Linked DNA regions of Oryctolagus cuniculus. The protein of the gene in region 3 interacts with the protein of the main gene of each other region in a biochemical or structural test. Links are inferred from orthologs where the notes say so. Each region holds a gene or a part of one and is shown on either strand. Other genes may lie near its edges. The genes, in order: OCRL, KIF20A, RAB6A and BICD1.

Evidence for each region.
Region 1: the proteins of RAB6A (region 3) and OCRL form a complex in vitro, tested with the Homo sapiens proteins (2 studies listed by BioGRID and IntAct, with this or other methods). The link is inferred for Oryctolagus cuniculus from reciprocal best matches to the Homo sapiens genes RAB6A and OCRL.
Region 2: the proteins of RAB6A (region 3) and KIF20A form a complex in vitro, tested with the Homo sapiens proteins (2 studies listed by BioGRID). The link is inferred for Oryctolagus cuniculus from reciprocal best matches to the Homo sapiens genes RAB6A and KIF20A.
Region 4: the proteins of RAB6A (region 3) and BICD1 form a complex in vitro, tested with the Homo sapiens proteins (3 studies listed by BioGRID). The link is inferred for Oryctolagus cuniculus from reciprocal best matches to the Homo sapiens genes RAB6A and BICD1.

The regions. Positions count from the first base shown.
Region 1 is NC_091453.1:107,239,060-107,246,099, reverse strand, and holds the start of OCRL (inositol polyphosphate 5-phosphatase OCRL), read right to left. Parts: upstream 4,421-7,040; 5' UTR 4,187-4,420; coding exon 4,148-4,186; intron 3,897-4,147; coding exon 3,817-3,896; intron 1-3,816. UniProt on the Homo sapiens protein: Catalyzes the hydrolysis of the 5-position phosphate of phosphatidylinositol 4,5-bisphosphate (PtdIns(4,5)P2) and phosphatidylinositol-3,4,5-bisphosphate (PtdIns(3,4,5)P3), with the greatest catalytic activity towards PtdIns(4,5)P2.
Region 2 is NC_091437.1:25,990,091-25,997,310, reverse strand, and holds the start of KIF20A (kinesin-like protein KIF20A), read right to left. Parts: upstream 4,020-7,220; 5' UTR 3,797-4,019; intron 3,374-3,796; 5' UTR 3,352-3,373; coding exon 3,187-3,351; intron 1,403-3,186; coding exon 1,316-1,402; intron 1,220-1,315; coding exon 1,100-1,219; intron 521-1,099; coding exon 382-520; intron 257-381; coding exon 69-256; intron 1-68. Other genes in the region: BRD8 (bromodomain-containing protein 8), read left to right, coding at 4,369-4,387, 5,608-5,704. UniProt on the Homo sapiens protein: Mitotic kinesin required for chromosome passenger complex (CPC)-mediated cytokinesis. Following phosphorylation by PLK1, involved in recruitment of PLK1 to the central spindle. Interacts with guanosine triphosphate (GTP)-bound forms of RAB6A and RAB6B.
Region 3 is NC_091432.1:65,087,502-65,094,562, forward strand, and holds the start of RAB6A (ras-related protein Rab-6A), read right to left. Parts: upstream 3,793-7,061; 5' UTR 3,276-3,792; coding exon 3,206-3,275; intron 1,661-3,205; exon of another isoform or gene 1,633-1,660; coding exon of another isoform or gene 1,596-1,632; intron 1-1,595. UniProt on the Homo sapiens protein: The small GTPases Rab are key regulators of intracellular membrane trafficking, from the formation of transport vesicles to their fusion with membranes.
Region 4 is NC_091440.1:128,273,651-128,280,817, reverse strand, and holds the start of BICD1 (protein bicaudal D homolog 1), read right to left. Parts: upstream 4,355-7,167; 5' UTR 3,992-4,354; coding exon 3,779-3,991; intron 1-3,778. UniProt on the Homo sapiens protein: Regulates coat complex coatomer protein I (COPI)-independent Golgi-endoplasmic reticulum transport by recruiting the dynein-dynactin motor complex.

The DNA.
Region 1 (7,040 bases), on a different chromosome or scaffold from region 3:
GAAGTCTTATTCCCTTTGCTTGTCCTTCTAATTAAACACACATGCTCCATTATAGTTCTACTGATTTGAGCTCCTTGAAAGCAAAAACCCTATCATATTGTTTTGTTTAATAGATGCCCAATAAATACTGGAGGAATAAATGAACTAGCTTAATCAAGCTATAAGCAGAGGTAAGAATTTCTAAACATCATTAAATTCAAATACATTTTTTAAATGTTCAAATACATTTAAAAAAAAAATTGTTTCTTTAATTTTACTTGAAAGGCAGAGAGAAGAGAGAGCTTCCACTTGCTTGTTCATTCCCAAAATGCCTGCAAGAGCCAGGGCCAGGAGAGGTTGAAGCCAGGATCCCAGAAACCAATCTAGGCTCCTATGTGGGTATCAGGGACCCATACTTGAGCTGTTATCTGCTGCCTCCTAGGTTGCCCATCGGCAGGAAGTGGAGTAGTTGAGACTTGAACAAAACTCTGATAAGGGATGCAGGTGTCCCAGGTGGTACTTTAAGTGCTACACCAAATGCCCACCTCCATTTGTCCAACCTCTGACATTAAAAATGTCATTGCTTTGAAGAGTCTGATTTCGTGCTGCTGTCTTTTTAAGGGACTGGTTTTCATTTTTTTTCAAATCTAATTCTGAAGAGGATAACGAGGTCTAAGTTACTGCTTACATAGAACTAAAGGAAATGGCAGTGTTAATGCTGTTTTCCTGCTCTGATCCTGCTTGCCCAATTTGAAGTGGTTTACATTTTAAGTTGACTATAGGAATGTGGGGCAGGTCCCTTTCAACCTCAAAAGCTCATGAGTTGCCTAAGAGTCCGCTAACCTCATACAGAGACCGGAAAGTAGATAAAAGGCTGAGAAAGCAAGGGTCAAAGAGGAAGAGCTTACTTTGAGGAAAATGAACACAAACCATTTTAGTCTCAAAATCTGGAGAACAGAAATTGTGCTGAACATTAGCAGTAGAGCTTCGACTGTACTGTGTAAGGATACTTCAAAAAGTTTACGGAAAAATGGAATAAAAAGATAAATTTATTGATGCAAAAAGTTTGAAATCCACATTTCTTTTTCATAACACACATTTCCAAGAACCTTTTTGAAGTGCCCTTGTGTACAGTATTAGGTGTCTCCAGGAAATGATTCCAAAAGAAACTATATATATATATATATACACACAACTATATGTTATATAGTTTCGGATATCGGTTACGGCTACTTCTTAACTGTGAACAAATGACTTAATCTCTCTATATCTCAATTTCTATATCTCTAAAAGCTGGGTGATGAGAATAACTCTCACATGAGAGTTAAATGAACTAATTAATGGTAAGCGCTTTGAACAGTACCTGGCATATATCAAGGCATTAACTGCCAGTTGTTACTATATTCCCATACCTTATATAGAATTGGCACACAAGAATCTGATTTCTCTACAAATACACATAGCCAGGAGAGCTGCTACTGCCTAGTTAAAAAATTCTTCAAGAGCCAGAGAACATAAGGCACATATCTCAAGGCCAGACGCATACTCCCTCATTCTCCAAATCTGCTTAACCAAGGGACCAGATCCTGGGCTGTGGTCATCTCAACAATGCAGCTATTGTATTCAACCCTCTAAATTTTGTTTTTACAGAAGAGGAAACCAAGGCACAGAAATCCACAGGTTTGTTCAAGGGTCACATCTCTCCACTGGATCCTACCCTTTGAAAGTTGCAGTGGTAGCCCACTTTTCAATTCAGCTTCCTGAAGAATTTAGTTTCATTAAACTGGTCTTCCAAGGTTTGATGAAATCTGGGGAAAACAGTGTGAATTTCCCACATGAATGGAACTGACCAATCAGGACTTAGGGAAGGGCTACTCCACAGAACCTGTTGACATGCACTTAGAGTGGCACTAGCAACCTCCAATAAGAGCAGACTAGGCCTGTGGGAATGTCTTCTGTGCAATTTGGACATCTGGACAAGAGACACAGAGGATGGAAGTGGGACAGGATGGAGGGGTGGGATTTTGGCCTGGAAGTTAAGACGCTGGTTGGGGTGTACACATCAGAGTGGCTGGGTTTCAGCATTGACTTCTGGCTTCCTACTGACGATGCACACGGTTGGAAGCAGCAGGTGATGGCTCAAGCAGTTGAGTCCCTGCCACCCACGTGGGAGACCGGGATTGAGTACCCAGCTTTCCCTTGGTCCAGCCCAGGCTACTGCAGGCATTTGAGGAGTGAACCAGCAGATGGGAGCTCTATTTCTTCCTCTCTTTTTTTGTTGAGAGACGGCTAGATTCAAGTGATCAACAATTTTTTAAAAAGATATATCTATTTAGTTGAAAGTCAGAGTTAGAAAGAGAGATATCTACCTATCCCCCATCCACTGGTTCACTCCCCAAATGGCTACAATGGCTGGAGGCAGGCTAGTGCAAAGCCAGGAACCAGGAGTTTCATCTGGGCCACCCAAGTGGGTGCAGGGGCTCAAGGATTTGAGATAGGCTCAAGGACTTGGCCCATCTTTCCCAGGTGCATTAGCAGAGAGCTGGATCACAAGTAGAGCAGCTGGGACTGAAACCTGTGCCCATACAGGATGTCGGCACTGCAGACAGCAGCTTATCCAGCTGTGCCACAGTGCCTGCCTGAAGGATGAACAATTTTTAAACCAGGAAGAAACCTGATGTAAAGAAACCAGTGAAAAAGGACTAGTACTGTGGCATAATGGGTAAAGCCACTGCCTGCAGTGCTGGCATCCCATATGGACATCGGCTTGTGTCCCTGCTGTTCCTCTTCCAATCCAGCTCTCTGCTATGGCCTGGGAAAGGCAGCAGCAGACGGCACGAGTGTCTGGGCTCCTGCTACCAAGGTGGGAGATCTATAAGAAGCTCCTGGCTTTGGCCTGGCCCAGTTCTGGCCACTGTGGCCATTTGAGGAGTGAACCAGCAGATGGAAGATCTCTGTCTCTCCCTCTCTCTGTGTGGCTGTGACTTTCAAATAAAATAAAATAAATCTTTAAAAAAAGAAAAACAAACAAGAAACCGGTGGGCATATGGGGTAGGGAGCCTATGTTGCCTAATGGTCACCATGGATACTCTCACGCTGAGGAAGCAGTGGCAAGGGAGTGAGGTTGGCAGCTCTGGTGACAGCTTATCAAGATAATCTTTTGATCAATCAGTCAGCAGTATTTACTGAGCTCCTGTGTCTAAGACAGAGTGGAAGGTAACAGACACTGTTAAAATCCCCACTTATATTTCTACACATTTCCTTACTTTTTCTTTCCAACAGTTAACTGCAGCAGTTAATGGCCCATCCTAACCCATAACTGAATTAATGAATATGCCTTCAAGCAAGTGGAATAAGGGGGTGGGGAGACTGGAGGAACCAGCCGAATGGAGTTAAGACAAGTCTGTAACATTAACAATGAAGCATTTCCATGGCACTTTTACATTTTGGAAAGCACTTTTGCACTTATCATTCCCCCAGTTATTACCTTATGCCTTATGTGAGTTACACATTGTAAAGGCTAAAAGGTAAGGCAGTTTGTTTTTATTCCTCCGATGAGGAAACTAAGGCCCAAAAAGCTTTATTGGTTTGCTCAAGGTTACACAACCCACGTCAGTGCAGCCTGCCCAGTGATTCCCTCCACCGAGCCACACTACCCGGCACAGTCTAGTGGCTTGGAAGTTGGGGACAAAGCCCCATGGTTAAGGAGCACTGTCACTTCACACCTAGGCCAGAACCTGTTGCCAGCGTGGGAGGAGAGGCGCTGGCTCGTCGCAGGTTGGGGTTGGCAGGCAAAGCCAGGCTCCCCTCCTCCGTGAGAATCAGGTGGTTACTTACTCATACTGCCCATTCCTCTGGGCTAGGGTCAGGACGCAGGGCTCGCGGAGAGGACCCTTCATCTCCATACCCTCCACAGTATGCGGGCGCTAGTCAAGGGTCTCCTGTAGACGCGCAGTCGGGGATGGGTGCGTGGTGCAGGGCGGAGAGTCTCCTGCCCCGCTGGCCGCCTTCCCCCGCCCCCCTAGGCGTAGCCTCCCGCACCCACCCCTCCCTCGCTCCGCTCGGCCTCTTGGCCCCGCGATCCTCCCGCTCCCCCGTGCTCCGCAGTGCCCCAGACCCCCATCCCCCGCCCTGTGCGGCCTCCCTTCCCCCTTCTCTCGGCGGATACGGCAAGGGGCTGGGCTCCGACCGGGAGCGGCGGCTCCATTCGGGCGGCCTCTGGGCTCTGCGGGGTTGTGGATTGCGGGCGGATCCGACGACACTGCCTCCCGCGTCCTCACACCCACCCGCCTGGGCTACGCGTCGTTTCAGAAACTGCTCGGCGCCGGGCTCCAGAAGCCAGGAGCCGGGAGCCCGGAGTCGTGAGCCGGGAGCGGGGAGCCGGGAATGGAGAGCCTGACCCAAGAGAGAGCGGCGCCTCGCGCCCCCGCCAGCTTTCCAGGCCGCCGCAGATTCCGCCCCCTGTGGCCAACCTGCAGAACTGCAGCGACAGACCCGACGGACTGGGGGCGTCTCCACCAACGTCCAGCAAAGGATGTTTTACATGTTTTCTGTGACACTACAATTGTGCTGAGATCTCTGAAGACTGCCACATAAGCCAAACACTGTCATATATATGAAAGAACTCAAACGTGTTGGGCCAATAGGATCCACATCTTCTAGTCAAAAAATCCTTAACAGGATACAATGCATCATATTGGTTATCCCCCCCCCTTTAAACAGATCTATCTATTTATTTAAAAGACATAATTACAGAGAGAGACAGAGAAATTCTCCATCCGCTGGTTCACTACCCAAATGTCCCGGAAGCCAGGACCCTGGAAATCCATCCAGTCTCCCACATGGGTGGCAGGGGCCATCCTCAGCTGCCTTTCCAGGTTCATTAGCAGGGAGCTGTATCAGAAGCGGAGCAGCCTGGACATGAACCGGCAGGCTAGCGTTGCCCCTGCCTGCAGCTTCAGCTTAATCCCGGATGTGCCACAATGCCTGTACTTCTTCTATCTCTTAAATTGGAAAATCAGGGGACGGTGCTGTGGCATAGCCGGTAAAGACACTGCCTGCAGTGCCGGCATCCCATATGGGCGCGGGTTATAGTCCTGGCTGCTCCACTTCCAATCCAGCTCTCTGCTATGGCCTCGGAAAGCAGTGGAAGATGGCCCAAGTCCTTGGGCACCTGCACCCATGTGGGAGACCCAGAGGAAGCTCCTGGCTCTCCTGGCTTTGGATCGCTGCAGCTCCGGCCATTGCGGCCAACTGGGGAGTGAACCAAAGGATGGAAGATCTCTCTCTCTCTCTCTGCCTCTCCTCTCTCTGTGTGTAATTCTGACTTTCAAATAAATAATCTTAAAAAAAAATAAATTGGAAAATCCCCCAAAATGCTGACCTTTACTTCTACTTTGAACCTCCTCCAGGTGGCTTCTAAGCAAGCAACGTCTAAATGTATATCCCTGGCCAAACCTCTCACCTGATGTACCTCACTGATAATGAACATGGTGACAGGATTAATTCATCATTTCACATAGTTAACGGGGATTGAAACCTCAAAGCCATAGCTTTCTTCTCTTTCCTAATATCCGTCTCTAATCTGTCAACAATTTTTGTTAACCTTTTCTTTGGAATTACTTTTAGATTCCTGATTTTCAATTCGTACTGCATCACCTTACTGTAAGCCCTTCTGATATCCTATTGAGGTTACAGCATTTTCCCTAAACAAATCCTGTTGGCTTTAATCTCTGCTTTGACCTTTTTACTTTGCTGACAGTCATAAAAATATTCTTCCCAGAGTAATGTTTCCTTTTAAGAAAAAGACTCCCTAATTTATCTGAAAGGCAGAATGACTCAGAAAAAGAGCTATTTTCCATCTGCTGTTTCACTCCCCAAATGGCTGCAACAGCTAGATGTAGGCCAGGCCAAAGCCAGGAGCCAGGAACTTCATCCTGTCCCCCATATGGGTTGCAGGAGCCCAGGTACTTGAACAATCTTCTAAGTCATAGTATCAGGAAGCTGGACTGGAAGCAGAGCTGCTGGGACTCCAATCAGCTCTTGGATATGGGATGCTGGCATTACAAGCAGCTGCTTAACCTACTGCATCACAATGCTAGTCCCCCAAAGTATTGTTTCAATCCTGTTACCCACTTTCTCCAGAAATCTGTAATGGACTAGGTATCAAGACTGACTTTAAACCTACAGTAATTAAGAGTACAGTATAGGGGCTGGCGCTGTGGCGTAGCAGGTTAAGCCGCCACCTGCAGTGCCGGTATCCCATATGGGCATCAGTTTGAGGCCCGGCTGCTCCACTTCTGATCTAGCTCTCTGCTGTGGCCTGGGAAAGCAGTGGAAGATGGCCCAAGTGCTTGGGCCCCTGCAACCATGTGGAAGACCTGGGGGAAGATCCTGGCTCCTGGCTTCAGATTGGCGCAGCTACGGCTGTTGCGGCCATTTGGGGAGTGAACCAGTTGATGGAAGACCTCTCTCTCTCCACCTCTCCTCTCTGTGTAACTCTGACTTTCAAATAAATAAATAAATCTTTTTAAAAAATAGTACAGTATAGAGATAGACCAATGGAACAGAATATAGAGCCTCCAAACACACTCTCACACATGTATGGTAAGTCAAAACTTAGGATATCTGACATTCCAAGTCAGTGGAGAAAGACTGAATCAGCCACAAAATTGTAGGATGACTATTGCACTAGGATGACAGCTTATCTGTCGCTCCCCCTCTTCGTGGAGGAACGACACTAAGCCCTGCCTAGGCTTCATATCCGAGTCACGGCACCATTATGTCGCTCCCCCTCTTCGTGGAGGAATGACACTAAGCCCTGCCTAGGCTTCATATCCGAGTCACGGCACCATTATGTCGCTCCCCCTCTTCATGGAGGAACGACACTAAACCCTGCCTAGGCTTCATATCCGAGTCACGGCACCATTATGTCGCTCCCCGTCTTCGTGGAGGAACGACACAGGACCCTGCGCTGTTCTTTTGTCTGCTCGGCCCTCCCCGGGTTTACTGCTGGTTCTTCCCGGGTTGGCTACCATCCCTTCCACCTCCGTGGAAGGGTG
Region 2 (7,220 bases), on a different chromosome or scaffold from region 3:
AGGTTAGCATAAAACTTTCTTGAGATTTGTAGCTACTGCCCCAGCGTCCATGTATACCAACATTTTACCTCCTGGAGGCCTCCATTTAGTAGGGAGAGCTTCTTCATTTCCTCCTGTCGGATCTGCTTGCTGTCTAGCCAGATTACCTCATTGGAAAGCAAGGGCTTCAGGTCAGGTGTCGGATGAAGTTGGCCTTGGAGGCTGCTGAAGATCAGAGCCAGGGATCGGGGCAGGATCCCTCCATCCTTGATGGTACCTAGAGGTATACAGAAGATGCACAGCTGAAACAAGTCCTTTCTGTCCCTAACTTGCAGGATCAAAAAGTAAAGAAAAAAAATCATTATAAGCCAGTCAGCAACACTGTGTAGCTGTACTACTCACCTTGAATTGTGTGGGTTTTCCCTGAGTTGGTGACTCCATAGGTGTAGATGAGCCAGCTCTGCCCTTTGATTACATCCTTTACCATTTCCTTCACAGTCAGGTTGAAGAAGGATGCCTGTCCGACTTCCGGCCCGAAGATCTAGAGACAGACCCAGCTTCTCAGAGACGGATCCTTTCCCTTCCCTTCTCCCATGCAGAGCCAGCATGGCATATCCCTTCATAGTGGTTTGCTCTGGAAACCACCCAAGGGTTCCTTCTTATAGTGCTGCCAGAAGTTCCCCAAATGCCAACAACTCAACCACTCTGCTAGTGCGTCTTTCATCCAGCTCAACACATACTTAGGCAGTGCTATGCACTGGGCCTCGTGCTGCACACTCAGCGAGGCAGCACAGTGGTCCCAAGCACAGGCTTTGGAGATGGACGATCAGGATCCAAGTCCTAAGTCCACCACTAACAATCAGCTCGGCTTTGGCAACATTACTGCTGCTGAACCAGAGACTCCTTGTCAAGAAAATAGGGATAATGGTAATAATAAGAACTGTTGGATATTAATGCACATGAAGTAATTGGCATAATGATGAGCACATGTCAAGGGCCCCCAGAATTGTAGATGTGTGCATAAATAAGGAACTTATAACAGAGAGAAGCCCTCCTTCTCAAGAGGAAACAAGTTGCCACTAGAAGCTTGTCCCTTATTCACAGACCAGTTCCTCCATACCTGGGAAAAGGTAAACTTGTGGGTGGCTTGACCAATTCCTCGCTCAGTGCTCTTCTGGGCAAAGGAATCCTTGGGTGCTTGTAAAACCAGGGTCTCCACATTCTCCACACGGACACAGCCCTTTGATGGAGGAAAATAGTTGTCACACAGGAAAACATTCCTGGGAACCTCTTCTCTACTACATGATTCCATTTAAATTACTCCCTCCTCACTCACCTGATCCTCTTGTCGTTCCAACTCTGAAGGTAACAAGGGCCTGACCCTCAGGTAAACTTTCACCTTCTCTGCACTGTCTGGTGGAACCTGTGGCAGAATTCCAATCCGGAACCATGGATTAATCTCAGCAGCCCCCTCTGAGCAAATGGCAAACAGCACAGTTCCTAGGAATCACACTGACATCACCCCATTCCATTCCAAATGTCTGTGCAGCTAGTCTTGGTTCCACAATCATTCCAACCTACACACACTTTTCTTTTTTTACTACTTTCTCACCCTTTTCTGTCTTATCAGTATCCTCCAAACCTAGTTTGCCATACCAATTATCTGAGTTAGAAGTGGTTGATTGGTATGAAAATCTGTATGTGATACTATTGGATATCAAGTCATTAAGCTGCTGGGAGGCTGCAAGGCAGACGCAATTGAATTTGAGTTCCAATTCCATCATTTAGTAACTATGAAGCCTTGAACAAGCTTTTAAAATGTTTTGCCTCAGTTTCCTCATCTGTAGAATGGAGTTAATAGCACCCAGTTCAAGCATTCAACAGACATTCAAAGTGCCCACTATGGCCCAAACTCCAACAGGTTCTGGTAGTCCATGAGGGACACTGTCAAGGACTCGATTCTGATGGAACTTTAAGTTCCTAAGAAAAACTCTAAGAAAGGACAGGAGTTGTCACTGTGGCATGCAGTGCAGATGCCTGCAGCGCCTGCATCCCATGAGTGCCGGTCTGTTCCTATCCCGGCCGCTCCTCTTCTGATCCAGCTCTCTGCTATGGCCTGGGAAAGCAGCAGAAGATGGCCCTCAGGCATAGGCCCTGGGAGTCCCAGAAGAAGCTTCTGGCTCCTGGCTCCAGATCAGCCCAGCTCCAGCTATTACAGCCATTTGGGGAGTGAATCAGCAGATGTAAGATCTCTATCTCTTTCTCTCTGTAACTTTATCTCTCAAATAAATAAACAAATCTTAAAAAAAAAAAAAAAGATAAGAAAAAAAAGACAATATAACAAAGCATGTTAACATTTAGCAGGGGCTGGTGCTGTGGCATACTGGGTAAAGCTGTCATCTCCAGTGTGAACATCCCATATGGACACTGGTTCAAGACCCGCCGCTCCACTTCCGATCTAGCTTTCTGCTATGGCCTGGGAAAGCAGAAGATGGCCCAAGTCCTTGGGCCCCTGCACCCGTGTCGGGGACCCAGAAGAAGTTCCTGGCTTCTGGCTTCAGAACAGCTCAGCTCCGGCCCTTGTGGCCATCTGGGGAGTAGACTAGTGGATGGATACCTCTCTCTGCCTCTGCCTTTCAAATAAATAAATAAATAAATCTTATAAAAAAAACCACACAAACACATTCAGCATTGGGCCTAGTAAAGTGGCTCTCAACCAGGGCCATTTCTCCACTTCTCCCAGCTACAAGGGGCATTTAGTGATCTCTAGACTTTTTGGTCATCAGAATAGGGAAGTTACTACTGACATCCAGTGGACAGAGGCCAAGAATGCTGTTAAACACCTTACCATACAAAGGCCAACCCCCACAAGAAAGACTATGGCCCCAAATGTCAAATAATGCTGTGGCTGAGAAACCTTGGCCTAGCGGAAAGCTAAACAAATGGTTGATGTTGCTAAGCCATTGCACTTAACACCAGGACGAACTTGTGCAAATTATCCAACACTTAACTGGGCCTCGTGGTGAAGAGAAGGAACTGCTCTCTCCCTTGGAGCTAACCATGAGCAGGAACTTGAGGCCACATATTCTACGGGGTTTTTGCTTGTCATACCCTTAATTCTGAATTGCTATCTCAGAACTTCTACCTTGCGTGGACAACTGTGGCTAAGGCCTTCCGCCGCCCGAGCCACTCCCCCTAGTCCTTTACCTGTGGCTTGTCCTCTAGAGAGGCGGAAATGACGGAGCAGTCCGACAGCAGTTCCTTGCGAACCACAGACCCCAGATCTGCAGCTGTGGACTCAAACATGGGGGAGACGCCCACCTCCTCATCTGACAGAAAGCCCGTGGGCGGAGAAAGGATCCCATGCGACATGACAGCAGGGGGCAGCCGAGGTCTGAAAGGAGACAAGAAAGTGAAGCAAGGACTTGGGACGAAGAGGCTTCAAACCAGGTTAAAAAAAAAAAGGCCCAGTCCCAAGACACCTGGCCCGGCTGCCAGAATTGCTACGCCCTTCCCCACCCACTGCCCCAGCCCCAGTATCTTATCTGCAGAGGGAAAGGCGATGAGGATTGAAAGTTAATCCAGCCTAAGGCGGCATTTTCGAAGGCGAACGTTAATCCTGGGCTATCAGGTTGCAAAAGCGGAAGGCCACGCTCCGAGGAGGGAGCCTGGCTCGCCGGGGCTGGGAGGATCGCAGGCTCCACCGACTGCACCCCAACGCCCACCGAGACGAGGCGTCTCCAGTTCCGCTTTCCGGACGCCTACTCCTCGCGGGCAAGAGCTGGTAACGCTGCGTGCAGCCCGTCCGCACACTCACCCGAGGCCGTGACACTCGCTCCTTCTGCGGTACCAGCTTACGTCTCGTTCCGAATCACTTCGTCGGCTGCCTGAGAGTAAAACTCCACCCACGAGGTGCAGCTTTGTTCCCGATACAATGTTTTAAACTACGCGCTGCGTTCGCTCGGCCAATCAGCTGGCGAAGCCTGTAGCTACCAATCAGCGTAAGGGAAGGAGGCGGGGACGACTGGGAGACCGTTTACTTGAGCGTGACCTCTCAACTGCAATGTGGGTCCGGGTTACCAACCGTTGCGGGCTCTCAGGTGTCTCACCTGGGATTCCTGACTCTTTTCCTTGAAGTCTAGACATTTCGTTCCCAAGAGGCCTAAAAGAAGTGGTGAAGTTTTAGTCGCCATTTTGTCTTTTATGTGGTAACAGCCCTTTCCCGGAACGCACAAGACCGCTGGTTCAGAGCGTTCGCTACGTCTTCGGAGAGAAAACTACATTTCCCAGGAGGCACCGCGAAGCAACGCCCGTACTCTATTTCCCAGAGTTCCCGGAGATCGGCCGAGTCGGACTGCCTCTCCTCAGGAGCTAGACTTCGGAGCCAAGATGGCGACGGGGACGGGCAGTGAGTATCGGGGCTGCTTTTGTTTGGGAGGCCGTTGGGGAGCCGGGGTTAAACACCACATTTCTGTCGCACGGCTAGGAAATCGAAAGAGTGGTTTGGCGGGGAGCCCGGAGTCCTCAGGGATTTGGGCTAGGCCGTGTCGTGAAGATAAGCGTCGGAGGGCCCCAGAGTTTACGGTCTTTCACCTCAGGGAGGGAGAAGGACGAGAAAAACAGCTCCGTGAATTTTTGTGTTATGAGCTGTGTAGGGTCAGAGGTAAAGGCAGCTTGGAAACCTGGGGTTGCTGATGAAGAGTTGTCGCGAGCTCTGTGGGAGTGGCAGGCATTTCAAAGAGCCAGTCATTCTCGGACCAACGTTGCGAGGCAGTGGAAGTGCGTATTTGAGCCGTGGGCTTTTTTCTGTCCGTGGGGAAGTTGCGTTTCGTGCGTTTCAGCCATTTCCGTGTTTGGGGTAGGAGAGGACCTTCAGGCCCGACGGTTGGGGGGAAGGGGCCGTTGGGAGTAAACAAGTTTATGCTAAGAGGGAGGCGGGGCCGGCGGCCGCTCGGAATCCTGGGAAATAAGCCCTTCCGTTCAAATTGGAATCCTTGTATTCTAGTGACAGCCTGATTCACCTTTTTTTTTTTTTTTTTTTAGATTTATTTATTTTTACTTGAAAACCAGAGTTACACAGAGAGAGGAGAGGCAGAGAGAGAGAGAGAGGGAGAGAGGGGTCTTCATCCACTGGTTCACGCCCCAATTGGCCTCAACGCCAGAGCGGCGCTGATCCCAAGTCAGGAGCCGGGAGCTTCCTCCAGGTCTCCCTTGTGGCTGCAGGGGCCCAAGGACTTGGGCCATCTTCTGCTGTTTTTCCAGGCCACAGCAGAGAGCTGGATTGGAAGTGGAGCCGCCGGGTCTCGAATCGGCGCCCTTATGGGATGCCGGCACTGCAGGCGGCGGCTTTACCCACTATGCCACAGCACCGACCCCAACTGGTTCGTCTTAATCTGGCATTCTCTCCCCATTCCCTGCCTTTTTTTTTTTTTTTTTTTTAATCTGAGCTTGAGCTATGGCATTTGAAAAAATATAATGCTATAATGCCAGTGTAAAGAATACAGTAGGTGCCATCGCCGGTGGTGTGGTGAAAATCAAGAATCTTTGATATTTGTATTGGGCTTTCAGTCCTTTCTTTGACACAGAAAACTTTCCCAGTGGTGGTCTCCAAGCCTTTTTTCCTTTCAGAACACAAGCTGCTGAGTACTGGCCCCACAGAGCCATGGTCCATCCGAGAGAAGCTGTGTTTAGCATCTTCTGTCATGAGGAGTGGAGATCAAAATTGGTAAGATGCTTTTTGGATCTTAGGAATTGTTGCATATTTTCAACATTGGGTTTTTTAGTCATATTAGTGTGAGTAGTATTTCTTTCTTAATAGCTTTAGTGGTATATAATTTGTAGAACTAACTCATTTAAAATAAACAATTCAGTGGTTTTTAGTATATTCACAGAATTGTACAACTAACATCATAATTAATTTTACATTATTCCTTCTCCCTAAAAAAATTATTTTCATTTTATTTGAAGAACTGAGACAGATGGGTCTTCATCCTGTTTCACTTTCTAAATGCCTGCATCAGTGGGAACTGAGCCCAGAACTCAGTCAGGCCTCCCGCATGGAAGGTGGGGTCCCTAGTACTTAAGCCATCACTGCTGCCTCTCAGAATGTACATTAGCTGGAAGCTGGAATTGGAATCAGAGCCAGGACTTGAACCTAGGCACTCTAATATGGAACGTGAGCATCTCAATCAGCATCTTCACACCACACCAAAGGCCTGCTCTTGCACTATTATTATTTTTATTGTTTTACAAAATTATTTATTTCATTGTGCAAATATATAAAAGGTTTACTTAATTATCTGGAAGGCAGAATTACAGAGAGAAAGGGAGAGCTCTTCCATCTGCTGGCTCACTCCCCAAATGACCACAGTTGCCCAGGGTGATCCAGGCTAAAACCAGGAGTCTGTTTTGTTTTTTTGTTTCAGTTGATATCTGTTATTTAAAAGGCAGACTTACAGAGAGAGAAAGAGAGATACCTTCCATTCACTGTTCACTCTCCGGATGACCATAACCACCAGGCCAAAGCCGAGAAATTCATCAGGGTCTCCTAAAAATGGAAGCAGGGTCCACCTTCTGTTGCTTTTCCAGGCTTATTAGTGTGGAACTGGATCTGAAGTGAAATAGCCAAGATTTGAACTGGTGTCCATATCGGATACTGTTATTGCAGGTGACAGCTTAACATGCTGTGCCACAGCACTGGCCCCTATCCCTCATTGTTCTTTTTTATTTTTTTAGATTTTATTTGTTTGAGAGACAGAGTTACAGACAGAAGGAAAAAGATATCTATTTGCTGGTTCACTTCCCAAATGGCCACATTGGTTAGAGCTGGGCAGATCTGATTACAGGAGCCAAGAACTTCTTCCAGGTCTTCACGTGGGTACAGGGGCCCAAGCACTTGGGCCTTCTTACACTGCTTTCCCAAGCCAAGCAGAGAGCTGGATTGGAAAAGCAGTACCTGGGACACAAACTCGTGCCTATACCCTCATTGTTCTTAATAAAGAAATAAACAGACACAGTTGGACACAATTTACACCCTTCCTTGATTTGAAAGGCAGAAATAGAGAGAGGTGGATCTTGTATCCACTGGTTTACAAACCCCCCACATGGCTGCAATGGAAGTTCCAAGAGTCAGGAACTTCTAATAGGTCTCTCACATGGATACAGGGGCTCAAGGACTTGGGCCATCTTCTGGTGTTTTCCCAGGCACATTGACAGGAAGCTGAATTAAAACCAACATTCCT
Region 3 (7,061 bases):
CAAATAAAGTCTACAAACAAAAATCTTGATATTTAAAAAAAGATATTCCTGAAGGAAACTTCAGGAACCGTGTATTTCAACATTTCACATATACTATTGAATTATAGAGAAACCACAGAAAGTTTATACCAGGGGCCAGCATTGTGGCCTAGTGGGTAAAGCCATTGCCTGCGATGCCGGCATCCCATATGGGTGTCCGTTCTCATCCTGGCTACTCCATTTCTTATCCAGCTCCCTGCTTTTTCCCTAGGAAAAGCAGGAAAAGATGACCCAAGTATTTGGGCCCCAGCCACTTGAGGGAGGCATGCATGAAGCTCCTGGCTTCGGCCTGGTCCAGTACTGGGCATTGCAGTCATCTGGGAAGTGAACCAGATGGAAAACTTCCCCCTCTGTCTTGCTCTCTACCCTACCCTCAACTCTTTCAAAATAAATAAATTAAAAAAAAAACAAAAAACAAAAAATTAACTTCACCATAGCAGAAAAATAGCACAGGCTACAACCTTTGGTTACTACTAGATTCAACCACTATTTTATCAAATATTTCTGAGCACTCAATGGGGAACACAATGAACAAAAACAATAACGGGATTTGCATCTTGCTGTGGGAAATAGACAAAAACAACAACAACAAAAAATAATATAATTATAAATGAGGTAAATGCTACTAAAGAAACAAACAAGGCTTTGCCATAGAGTACAGGCTTTGAGAGCTAAATTGTGGAATTCTAACAGATCCAAAAATAAATAATTCATGAAGAATTACATCAAGATGACAGATTCTACAGACCTCTGCTAATGCATAAGAAAACTAGACACTGACCACAGAAAGTGAGATCAATCTTTCATTGTCAAAGCTATTGGGTAATATTACTTAGCAGTACAGTAGCCTTCAAAAGATAATTAACCTCACAATTCAGAGAAAAAAGCATGTAAACACAATCCTGAAAACCGTCTAAGTGGAGCCTATGGACAACTAACCGTAATGTGGTATCCTGAACTGAGTGTTGAAACAGAAAAAGAACATGAGTTAAAAACTAAGGCAATCTAAATTACGGACTTTAGCTAATAACGTCTCAATACTGGCTCACTGTTAATAAACATATCGTACTAATGTAAGATGTCAGTAACAGGGGAAACCAGGTGCAGGAATATATGGACACCCTCCACACTATCATCTCAATGCTTCTGCAAATCTGAAACTGTTCTAAAAAATGAAGCCCATTTTCTTTTTGTAATCTCACAAGGCTTCAAGAATTATAGGAGTAGAGAATTAATAAAACAGCTAACGGAAGTAAACAAAACTCTGTAATTTAGAACATAAACACCTAAGAAATTCAAAAGAATCCTGCAGACTAAAGATCTCTATTTATGCTGAAGTATTCCCAGACACAAAGATTAATGCCTTTCTCATGCAAACTAAATGGCTCTGCAACACAACATAAGGCAGGCAATAACATCCCTAAAGTGCACAATAAGCCCATTAGGGTCTATTTATCAATAATGACCAATAAACTGTATTTTATGCATGGCACTTTCTTGAAACTGCCATATAATAATGGCTGAACCAGTTCCATGGGTTCTAACAATTTGCTCACCTAAAGGAACATGTTCATACTTCAGGAAAATCCACATGCAAAGAGAGGGAGATCGTTTCCTTCCTCTGGTTAAGGGAAGATAATCCATGTATGAAAGGAGACAAGTTATTTTCTAGGTCCAAATGGAGGCAATTTTGCAACAAGCATTAACCTACTATATTGTCATACAAATTAGTATAAATAGTTCAAGGTAATAGTAACAGCTATGAATTTATATCATTGATATGCCTTCCAGTCAAAGCAAATAACTAATGGCTTCTATAACCTCACCTAAGATAACTAGATTTCCAAAACTTGATGACTTGGTACTAGTCTCTCCATTTCTGAAATTAAAGATGGTCATGAAAAATTTGAGAGAAACAAAGGACGGTGACTCTCTCAATTACTGTCAAGTTTGTATAATATAGCATAAAACTATCATTACCATAAGAAGTACTCTTAGAGACAGCCATTACAAAATTAAGATGTTGTATCTAATACAAAATACATCAACAATCCTGACCAGGTAAATGACATAACAATTTCACTCATCAGATACCATAAAACATTAAGCATTAAAAAAAAATTAGCCCAAATGGCATTTAAATCTAATTTAGGTAACTAGATGATGAATCTATTCCTACTCTACTCCATTACCCAAAGGAAATCTTACAAAAGATGTTCATCCTAAGCCTTCTCTCACATAAATCATATATATATATATATTTAAACTGGAAAACACTCAAGAAGAAATGAATAATTAACATTTCCCAGTAATTCCTGTGTGCACCACCATGAGGAGAATCGGACACTGCTTCTTGATGAAAAAAGGGGAGGTGAGATGTTGAAAAATTCCAAGTAAAACGATCATGACATAGCATCTGGCAGAGATCGAAAAAGCATCAACAATGCCCAAAGAATTGTCGGCGATGAAAGTCAAGAGAAAAAATAAGGTTTTGCCGACAAGCCACAGCCCAATCCATGGGGCAAAAAAAAAAAAATCGCCACTGCCGACGACACCGCGCTCACCCCCGACCACCCCATTCTCAAATCGCCCCCAATTTTGAAATATTTCCTCTACAGCCAGACCAATTCCCCACCCAGGTGAAAACCTGCCGCGATTTTTTTTTTCTCCTACGCCCACCACTCCTCCCCTCCCAGGAGCTCAGCACTTCCAAGGGCCAAGCCTCTGGGGAAAACAACGCCCAGCTCCCACCCGCCGTGCCCAAGGTTGAAGAAGGGCCGGTCCCCAGGAGCGGGGGCTTCCCGGGGTGGGCCTCACCTCGCCCGCGAGCTGAGGACGGAGCAGGGGACAAGGGTGGGGCTCAGGAAAGCAGGGGGGTCGAGAGGACGCTGGGGCCCGGAGGAAGAAAGAGATGGACAAGGCGGCTGGGGCTGGGCGGGGTGAGGACGGGCCGGGCTGCGGGGACCCCGGCAGCAGGCAGGCTCGGGACTCGGGGCCGGCGGAAAAATGAAAAACCCGACCCAGCGAGCAGGGCCAAGAGGGGCCGGGGTGGAGCGGAGCGCGGACGCGAGGTCGGCAGGGAGCCTCCGCGGACGGGAGGGCCGCACCGGGGGCGGTGCGGGGAAGCCGCGGCCGGCTGCCAGGAGTGGGGGAGCCGCGCACTCACCGCTCTGCTCCCCCAGGAACACCAGCTTGAATTTCCTCAGCGGATTCCCGAAGTCTCCGCCCGCGGACATGATGGAGCCGGAGGAGCTGCTGCCGCCTCAGCCCAGAGACCGCCCGGACCGACGCTGCTCCAACCGGCTGCCGATAAGGGCGAGCGGAAAGGCGAGTGCCGAGCTCTCTCGGCCCCTGCAGGGCCCCGGCGGAGCAGCGAGGCTGGAGGACGGCGGGACTCGCCACAGACGAGCAGCAGCAGCCGCCGCCTCCCCGCAGAGTCGCCTAACACCGAGCGAGGCCCGCGGCTGGGAGGCGAGGGAGGGCGGTGTCGAAACACCCAGGGCTGTGCTCAGGGCTCCTGAGGCTAGCACCGCTCCCTTCCTCAGCGCCCAGCACGGAGACTGGGGTGGGAGAGGCGGAAGGTGGCGCAGCGGTAGCCGCAGACGCGTCCGGGACCTCTCACACCCAGCTCCTCCGCTGCCGCCGCCGCCGCAGCCCAACCTGCTGAGTGCGCGAGCCTCTGGCGCGGCGCAGGGCGAGCCCGGGCGCGAGCCTGCCGCCCCTCCGGCAGCCGGCGTGCGTGCGTGCGTGCGTGCGCGTGCGCGTGCGCGCCTCCGCCAGCGCCTTCCTGGTCCAGCCAGCTGTCCTCGCTCCTCCCGCGCCGCGGAGTCTAAGGCAGGGAGAACCGAGGAGGGGGCGGGGCGGAGAAAGGGGCGGTATGTGGTTGGGGGGGCAGAGAGGAAAAATGGAACACTTACGTCACTTACGGGGTGGGCCAATGGGAAGAGGCCGAGGGCAGGCAGGGAGCAGAGCGAGGTGGAGGCGCGAGAGCGCGCGCGGCCGTGGAGGCGTGGAAAGCGGACCGCTGCGGCGGCCATGCTGAGTGTGGCAGGGCGCAGCCTGGGGGCGGGAGGTGGAGAAGAGGAGGGAAAGGAAGATGGAGCCGGCGGAGGCGGGGCCGGGACGGAGGCGGAATGACCCCGGCGGTGTGCGGTTGGGACCGGATACCCTCGAGGTGTGAAATAGGTGCCTCTTGCCCGAGCTTTCAGTATTGCCTCACAGCCCTCGGGGCCGCCCTTCTCGCGTGTGCCCACCCCCACCGTCATCTTCATCTTAATTCTTCTCACGGCGTCTTAGACTCGGTTGCTCCAAGGGTGTTTTAGCTGCCAGAATCAGGGCCTCCTTATTCTGCACAGGAGGGAACAAACCCGGAGGGAGGAAATGACTTGCAAAATCCACAGGTTGTGAGGTGGCTCCCAGGTTCATTTGCCACCTGAACCTCTGCGACCCCTTTATTGGTAAACCCATCCAGTTCCCTCGCCTAAACTGGTTTGCTTGCTCCTTCGGCATTGCTAACTCTAGAGTCTAGATGATGCCCACCTTGCCAGAAAAGGGTTTACAGATCAGTTACACTCAGCCCCTTTTCACAGATAATGCAACTGAAGTCCACATAAGAAATTTCTTTCTGGAAGGCTACAAATTAGAAAGCCTGAGCGGTTAAGGGGGCCACCTGCGGCGCCAGCATCCCATATGGGCGCTGGTTCCAGACCCGGATGCTCCACTTCCAATCCAGCTCTCTGCTATGGCCTGGGAAAGCAGTAGAAGATGGCCTAAGTCCTGGCTTTGGATGGACCCAGCTCCTGCCATTGCGGCCATTTGGGGAGTGAACCAGTGGATGGTAGACCTTTCCTTCTCTCTCTCTATCCGCCTGTCTCTCTGTAACTCTACCTTTCAAATAAATAAATCCTAAAAAAAAAAAAAAAAAAAAAAAAAAAAATTACCCTTGCTGCTTGAAGCGGGGATTCTGCCACGAGTGAAGAAGGTTCCTTAAACTAACCCTATGAAGCAGGTGCGTTTTTCTGTGGAGAGGACCCATAGTTTTCATCCCATTTTCAGCCTACTTCATTGTCCAGAAAAGCAAAGTTGGGGTGGGTGTTCTGGCCCGCTGCTTAGGACGCCCACAGCCTCTACTAGATTGCCTGGAATAGTGTCCTGGCTGTCCTTCCCATCCGCCTTCCTGCTAATGTGCCTGGGAGGCAGGAGATGATGGCCAAAGGGCTTGGGTTCCTGCCACCCATGTGGGAGAATCAGATGGGATTCTTGGTTCCTGGGCTTTGGCCTTCCCAGTCTCAGCTATTGCACGCATTTGGAGAGTGAACAAGCCAATGGAAGATTTCTGCCTCTCCCTCCTTAGGTCACTCTTGTCTTTCAAATGAAGAAAGTTGTAAAAAGAAGGTTAACGGCACAACCAAAAAGAATCTAAGAATTACTTAGTATAGTCTGGAAAACTAGGGGCCCACACTGAGGTGTAGTGGATTAAGCTACTGCCTGCAACACCAGTATATCGCATATATTTTTGTTTAAAAAAAAATGTGTGAAACTAACATGACATGCTAACTAACATGACACTAACAAAACAACTAAATGAAAGATTTTAAACATTTTTATTTATTTGAAAGGCAGAGTGACAGAGATGGAGACAAAGACAGAGATCTTCATCCAAATGCCCACACCAGCTGGTGCTGGGCCAGGCTAAAGCCAGGAACCAGAAACTCCACCCAGGTCTGCCACATGGACAGCAGGAAGCCAACTACTTGAGCTATCACCACCATCTCCCAGGGTGAGCGTTAGGAGGAATCTGAAATCAGGAGTGGAGCCTGGAGTCAAACCCAGACACTACCATATGGGATGAGGTTTCCCAGAGTGGCATCTTAACTGCTAGGCCAAATGTCTTCCCTAAAGAAGCTATTTTTTAAAAAACGCTTGCAAACAAAAGCGAATGGCTATTTTTTTTCTTTCTGATGAATACCAGGTTTTTCTTTATGTTTTCTGAAGTAGCTTTTCAAGTAGCATCTGAGATTGGAACTGTAATGACTTTGTATTTCTCCAGAACTCTGTGAATCAACTCTACCCTGATGCTTTGGTCTCTGTGGTCACCCAGTCAGCTAGTGTTATTCCCTGTTATTTTGAAGAGAGGTGTGCCAAAATCCATCTCTTACCTCATAGGTTGGGTGCTAATCACTGATACTTATCAAGTACTCTATGTAAGTCAAATGTTTGAAATTTTATGGTTTGGATGGGCATTTGGTCTAGCCATTAAGATGCCAGTTTAGATGACGGTGTCCCATATTGGACAAACTACCTGGTTTCAATCCCAGCTCTGGCTCCTGACTCGAGCTTCCTGCTAATGCAAATTCTTGGAGGCAATGGTGATGGCTCAAGTAATTGGGTTCCTGCCACCTATATGGGAGACCTAGATTTGAGTTCCTGACTCCTGGCCCTGGCCCCTAGCCCTTGTGGGTATTTAGGGAATTAACAAGTGGATGGAAACTCTGTGTGTGTGTGTTTGTGTGTGTGTGTCTGTCTGTCTGTCTGTCTCTCTGCCCCTTTAATTTTAAAAAGTGTGTGGTCTAAAATTTGCATGTCAAGTAATATGGGGCTCAGTAAATGGAAAATTATCTGGAAGAAGGAGGAATTAGACCGTTTTTGAAGGCCCTTTTATCAACATTTCACCTCCTTAATTTCCTGCACGCACTCTATCTTGAACATTTTCCTGTCCATCTCCTCAGTTATACTTACCACTTCAAGAAGCTGTCTTTGTCCATTTCACCTGCCGTAACAGGATACCATAGGCTGGGTGGCTCTGGGTGGCTTGAACAACATTTCTCAGTTCTGGAGACTAGAAAGTCCAAGATCAAAGCGTTGAATCTTCTGGGGCCTGCTTTCCTGAGCAGCCAGCTTCTCACTGTGCCCTCACATGAAAAACAGTAAGAGAGAGCCCTTGGGGCCCTTTTACAGGGGCGCTAATCTCACTCATGAGGGTGCCACCCTTATGATCTAAAGCCCCACTTCCTCATACCATC
Region 4 (7,167 bases), on a different chromosome or scaffold from region 3:
CACCGCGGATTCGGGGCAGTGGTCCTCTGTTCACATTCCCACAAACTGGCCTGCTGGTTTTCCAGTGAATCATATTTGCTGAAAGAGCCTAGAATAAGTCAAAGCTTTTGTTTATGCCTGATTTTACAGGTACCGTATTACATCATTTACTACATAAACCTGATCATGAAGAAATCAGGCCACTCACAAAATACGTTTTGCAAAAATGGCTTCTTTAGGCTATCATCATTTGAAAGCCTCAGTTTGCACCAATATGGTAGACTTACTTTTCCAACAGAAAACACTACTTGAGTCTGCTTTAGCTCATTTAAGTGATAATCCAACTGAAGTATAAATCGCATCAACAGCATGAAAGCCATAAGTCCTGCTATCAAATAATCAAGTACAGTGGTTTTATTCTAAAATATATTTTCATAAAACTGTATTTAGCCAGTTTATTAAAAACTTAAATATGTTTACTTATGCTAAATGCAGCTCAAAATGCACATATAAATAAGTGCCATTTGGCAAGAATAATCCTAAATAGTTATTATTAGCATCCTACCACATAGAAAAAAATCTACTTAAAATTTGTATTTAAAAATTACATATTTTTATAGAAAAATTATGGGGGCCAGTGCTGTGACACAGCGTGTTAAGGCCCTGGACTGCAACACCAGCATCCCATATGGCCGCCAGTTCGAGTCCCAGCTGCTCCACTTCCAATCCAGCTCCCTGCTAATGTGCCTGGGAAAGCAGCAGGGGATGGCCCAAATCCTTGGGCCCCTACACCCATATGAGAAATCCAGAGGAAGCTCCTGGCTCCTGGCTTTGGATCAGCTCAATTCCGGCCATTGCAGTTATTGGGAAAGTGAACCAGTGGATAGAAGATCTATCTCTCTGTCTCTCCCTCTCTCTGTCTGTAACTTTATCTCTCAAATAAATTTAAAAAAAATTTTTTTAAGAAGGGGGAGGAGGATAAAGCCACCACCTGCAGTGCTGGTATCCCATATGAGTGCCAGTTCAACTGCCGGCCGCTTCATTTCTGATCCAGCTCTCTGCTATGGTCTGGGAAAGCACTAGAAGACGGCCCAAGTGCTTGGGCCCCTGCACCCATGTGGGAGACCCAGAAGAAGCTCTTGGCTCCCGGCTTCAAACTGGTGTAGCTCCAGCCATTACAACCATTTGGGGAGTAAACCATCAGATGGAAGGTCTCTCTCTCTCTCTCTGCCTCTCTCTCTCTCTGCCTCTCTGTAACTCTCTGCCTTTCAAATAAATAAATATTTTTTAAAAAAAGAAAAATTATGATATTTTCATTACTCTGCATTAAGAAACCACTGATATTATTCCTACAAAACATTTTTCCTCATTTTTCTCAGTACTGATAATGAAACTAATAGTTTTTGAAGACTAGCTAATTTATTTATTTGAAAGACAAAGTAAGAGAGGGAAAGGGAGAAAGAGATCTTCTACCCACTGTTTCACTGCCCAAATGCCCACAACATCTGGGACTGGGTAAGACTGAAATCAGGAGCCAGGAACTCCATCCCGGTCTCCCACATGGGTGGCAGGGACTCAAGTACCAGTGCCATCATCTGCTGCCTCCAAAGTGCATGAGCAGAGGCTGAATCAGAAGCAGAGCAGCTGACTCAGACAGGAGCTCTGGTGTCAGGGATGCCAGCACTGCACATGGCAGCCCTAACCAGTGCACCACAAGGCCTCCCCCTTTACTAGTCACTTTCTACACTTCCAGTTTTCTTAGGAAAATGTCAGAGGCAGGTACTGTGGTTAAGCTGCTGCTTGGGACACTCCCATCCCACATCTAAGTGCCTGGGATCAAGTTCTACCATCACTTCCTGTCTCCTGTGTGAAATACTCAGATTGAGTTTCCAACTCCTAGCTTCAGCCTGGCCCAGCTCTGGCTGTTGTGAGCACTTGGAAAGGAGCCAGCTGACAGAAGAGCTCTCGCTCTCTCTCGCTCTCTCTCGCTCACTCTCTCTATGCCTTTGCAATAAGTCGAAGAAGGAAAGATGGGAGGGAGGGAGGGAGGGACGGAGGGAGGTTACAAGAGGCTGGGGTGGTTGGGTGGAGGAGGGGTGGGGAGGTATTAGTCCAAGGATTCATAATGTCACTCTCACAGCAGGAATAAGTTGAAGAGATCCATGGCACAGCAAGACAACTACAGTTAATGAAGCTACACTGTATTCTCAAAAGATGCATACAGTGGGTAAGTGTTCTCACTGTGTAAATAACTAGGAAGTAACATATTTGCAACAATCAGATAGATTTAACCATTCCATGGTGTGTATATGCTTCAAATCATCATGTCATCAGTGACAAACACAAACCATTTTGTGTGTCTATTTGAAGTAAATAAATAATAGGTTTCTCGTCTCAAGAGCCTGTGGTCTTCTAAACGCCACAGCCAACTGCAGCAAGGTTCACCACGCAGGGGAAGTGCAAGGACAGACTCCCTAGCTGAAGTCAAGCAGGAAGGCCAGGCAAAGTTTCGTTCCATTTCAGCACATGAAACCCCTCCTGCACCAAGAAGGTGATGCCCTCACACCGACTGCTCTGCACTCCGCTAATCAGCGCGGAGAGGTGAAGACAGCAGCAACACAGCTCCAAGAATTACAGTCCTCATCCTGTCGCCTTCCTCCAAGAGGCTCCCGCCACGGCACGGACACATGTCAGACCAAGACCTAATCCAATTTGGAAAATATAAACAAATCCAGCCGCTGCTGAGAACAGACGTGCGCACGGTTTAAAAAACAAAACAAAGCACAGACTAGACACTGACAGCCTGATACATAAAAATTAATTTCCACTTGGGTTTTTAAGCACATGTACTACATCAATTTCTTGGTATTTAGGCATCAGAAGAAAATAAGGCATCTCCGAAAGTATAAATGCTTACTGTATTATGTACTCATTTAGAAGGCTGGGTGTCGGATAGGTTATAAATCATGTTTTTTAACTGTAACAACACACGACACCTCCCCCCACCAAAAAAAAAACACAAACTTACCTTGTAAGAAAAGATTTTGAGAACACTGTATGTCAAACAAGAATTAGCTTTTAAAACGCCAACAGGCGCCTAAAACACAGACTTGTGTATATTCATTTGCATTCCTGGCCAGTTCCCTGCCACCCCCAGCGCCTCAGCGACCAGGGGAAGCAGACGGCGCTCCTCAAACAGCAGGGAGGACACACGACGTGCGGTGTTCTGGCTTCCTGGCCACCGTCATCCCCACACCGTGTGCCTCCTCGGACACGCAGGGCCACCCGGCCCCCGACAGGCGAGGCGCCCCGGGAGCACTCGCAGGGGAGTTCCCCGTTCCCGGGCCTCAGGGGCAAACCCACTGGCGGCTGCGTCGGGCAGCAAAATCGCTTTAACGTCTCCTTAAGCCCAACGACCTGAAGGGCCACAGGGCCCAGCCCAGCCCCCGGCGACCCGAACTGCTCAAGACTTCTCCGCACCACAGTTCCCTCTCCCACCCGGCGCACCTGGCGCAGATCCGGAACCGCGCGTCCTGGGGCGCAAACCCGGGACGGTCACGGTCACCGGCACGGAGCCGACACCGAACGGAGAGAGAAGTTGGGTGCGCGCGTTCCAACGCCGCTGAACGCCGCCCTCGGGGACCCCTCCGACCTCTCCGCCCCTCGGGCACTGCCCCACCACGTTCCAGCCCGCGACTCGGTTCGTGGGTGATCTTCCTCTCGGGAGAAAAACAAAGGGCGCCCCAGCCTCTCCCACCCACCCAGGGGCCCAGTCGCAGCCCCGGCCGCGCGCCCTCACCTCTCGCAGCTGCTCCAGCTCCTGCTTGAGGCCGTCGTAGGAGGCCTCCAGGTCGTCGTACTGCTGCTTCAGGGCCAGCTTCTCCTCCAGCACCGCCAGCCCGTACTCGGCCGCCTGGATCTTCTCGTGCGTCGTCTCCGTGAGCTCCCTGGTCAGCCGCTCGATCTCGGCCTGGTACTGGTCCGCCGTCTGCAGCGCCTCGGCCGCGGCCATAGCCCCGGCGCGCGAGGCGGAGGAGGCGCACGGGCGGCGGCGGAGCGAGCCGGCCAAGGCCGGCGGGGACGCCAGGCAGAGTGCGGCGCCGGCTCGCAGCCGCGCGTCCGGGGAGCCGAGGCCGCGCGCGCGCGGATGCTGGGTCGCGGCGGGCGCTCACGGCCGCGTCCGGGGCGCCGGCCCCCGGGAGCGCTCAGGGGCCGCGCCGCATGGCCCGGGCGGGGCGCCGGGGGGCTCCGGGCTCCGCGTCCTCAGGGGCGCGCGGCCGCCATGTCTCCCGGCCGCGCCACTGCAGTAGCACCCGGCCGCGGCGCGCGCTCCTCGCTGCACCTGCTCACTCCGGCTCCGCTGCAGCCCGCGCCCAGTGATGCAGGCGCTCCCGGCGCCCTCCGGTCCCGCCCGGCCGCGGCCGCCGCTGCCGCCGCCGCCGGAGGGGGCGGGGAGCGTGGAGTCGGCGCGCGGGGAGGGGCGGGACCGGCCGGGCGCTCCCGAGGCGCCTCCCGCCGGCGCGCGGGGCCGCCGCCAGCTGCTCCGCCGGGAAGGCGCACGGGGTCGGGGCGGGGGCGGCGGGATGTGCGCACGGGGTGGGGGGCGGGCGTTCACTGCTGGCTTTGTCCCGGCGCACGTCCAAGCCCCCGGGGGTGACCTGGGCGTCCACTCTGGAGCTCGGGAAAGCCTGGAGTGGGCGCCTGCTCCAGAGAAAAGCGAGCCAGGCTACCGCGGTGGGCGCCCGCACAGCCTTCCCGGCCTGCTTCACCCAACAACCGCGACGTCTCCAAGGCCTGACGCGCTCCGAGGTGCCCGCCTCCCCCATCTCTGGTCCGGCCTGGTCCTCCGGGCTGGCCGGCGTGCTGTGCCCATCTTATCCCAAGATCAGTCGGCTCAGAAAAGCACCGCCAGGCAGCAGGCGCCCCGTAAGGTTCCAGAAGCTGTACTTCCTAACCCCAATGGTGGTTCTGTCAAAGTGCCATCTGCCTCTGATTGCTCAGTAAAGGATAATAGCACGAAATTCCCCATATAAGGCATCAGCAAGACCCTACAATAAACATTTGAACTGAAGAGTTCTTGGACCACGTGCAGGCTTGCTTCTGGGTCTGCCGCACCATTCTTTCCAAACACAACAACTGTCTGAGGCAGGAACCAGGACCCCCTCCCCGTTTGTAATGGGAGAAGAAGGCATGGAGGGCTGATGTGTGCAGGATCAGGCATTCGTTAAGTCCATACCCATGAGCATCTTCTCCGCAAGACCACTGATGATCTGAATCCCGCTGCAGAGCCCTGCACAGGACCCCTCCGTGGACTTGGTCTTCACACATGACGGACACAAACTCAGCAACCAAGCATTTCAGGCTCCTGAGAGCCCCCCAGAGAACGCCTGGGGAGTCAGTGTGAGGGCAATGAGGAAGAGACACAAAGAGCCGAATGCAGAGTAGAAGCGGTGGCAGAGACCCGGGGAGATGAGAACCAAGAACAACCAAGGATTCCTTACGTCCGTGTCTACAAATCATAGTGAATCTGCTAAAAGTTAATTAACATGAAAATTAAAAATGAAATTTAAAAAAAAAAGGAAAAGGAGCAATTTCACACGCCTGGGTGACTACTGGGTCTAACTAGCCCCTGTCCACTCTCCAGGGGACTTCTTCCCACGCTGTCTCAGCGGCCAAAATGTGTTCAGCACACAGGGCAGTTTTCTTACTAAAACAGAGGCTGCTGCTGTGGAGGGGGCAAATGAGCAACCCCAGCAGGCTGTCTGCTGGCGATTTGCACTGCCTCAGGAAAGGCACGAAAGAGTCCCTCCAAGTGCTGAGCATCCCAGCAGTGTGTTCTCGTGTGAGTATCCGACCTAAGAAGTCGGTAAGTCAAAGGAGAAAACACTCAAAATGTGGAGGCACCATGAACTCTGACCTCCTACAGATAGGGGGTGACCAGGAACACATCGCCCCATCCCTGCAGCTGAGAGTCCCTCCTCTGCTCCCCTCTGTCTTCTGTGTCACTGAGGAAGGATGGCCCACTGCTGATGACACCTGCTCCCCCTCACCTCACCGGCCTCATCCAGGTAAGTCCCTGGCCATTGCTCATGCCAGCACTCTGAGCATAGCCCTCCAAAGGGGCCACTGGCTGGAGAACACTGCCTGGATCCCCCTTTGCTTTGGCAAGGACTGAGACAGTAGTTGGGCTCCGTGATTTTCCTTTGTCTAAGTTTCCATGCTGCCCATTCTCTGTGCTCTATCCTGCCCCGTTTTTCTGACGGATGCCTTTCTGTTAATACCTTCAGTCCAACTTCATCCAAGCACATCCAGCAATACTTTAAAATTTTGCTGAATTCAGGGGTAGGCGTTTGGCACAGAGATTTAAGTCACTGTTTGGGATTTGCATATTCCATATTGCGGTGCCTGGTTCAAGTCCCAGGTATTTTGCTTGAGATCCAACATTCCTTTAGTGCATATCCTAGGAGGCCGTAGGTGGTGACTTGAATACTGGGTCCCTGCCACCCATGATGGAGTTTCCAGGCTACTGGCTTCAGCCTGTCCCAACCCTGGCTGCTCTGTTGCAGGCATTTGGGAAATGAACCAACGGCGCTTTATCTCTCTCTCTCTCTCTCTCTCTCTCTCTCTCTCTCTCTCTCTTTTTCTCTCTCCTTTCAAATAGAGTAAAAATAAATGCATAAATAATTTTAAGAATAACTTGCTTAGTTCAATGTTGAACTAAGCAACTATATGTGTAGGTATTTAACATGAAGGAGTGCTTACTTCCTCATACACCATGCCCTTCTATTTCTGCAGGTTACTATAATCATGTATACCAATTATAAATATGTATGTGTATATATATATATCAATGACAAGTATGTAGAAAATAATTTGTTTTAAAATTTTTATTTCCTTGTCTTTGAAAGGCAGAGAGAGAAAAATCTTTATTCTGCTGGTTCTCTCCCCAGATGCTTTGAACAGCCAGAGCTGAGACAGCTGAATGAAGTCTGGAGCCAGGAACTCAATCCAGCTCTCTGTGGCAGGGATCCAAGCACTGGAGCCATCGCCTGCTGTCTTCTGGAGTGCACGTTATAGAAAGCTGGATGGGAAGCAGAGGAGGCAGGACTTGAACCAGGCACTCTGATAGGGGATGCCGGCATCCTAAGCGGTAACTTAACTACTAGACCAAATTTCTACCCCAGAAAG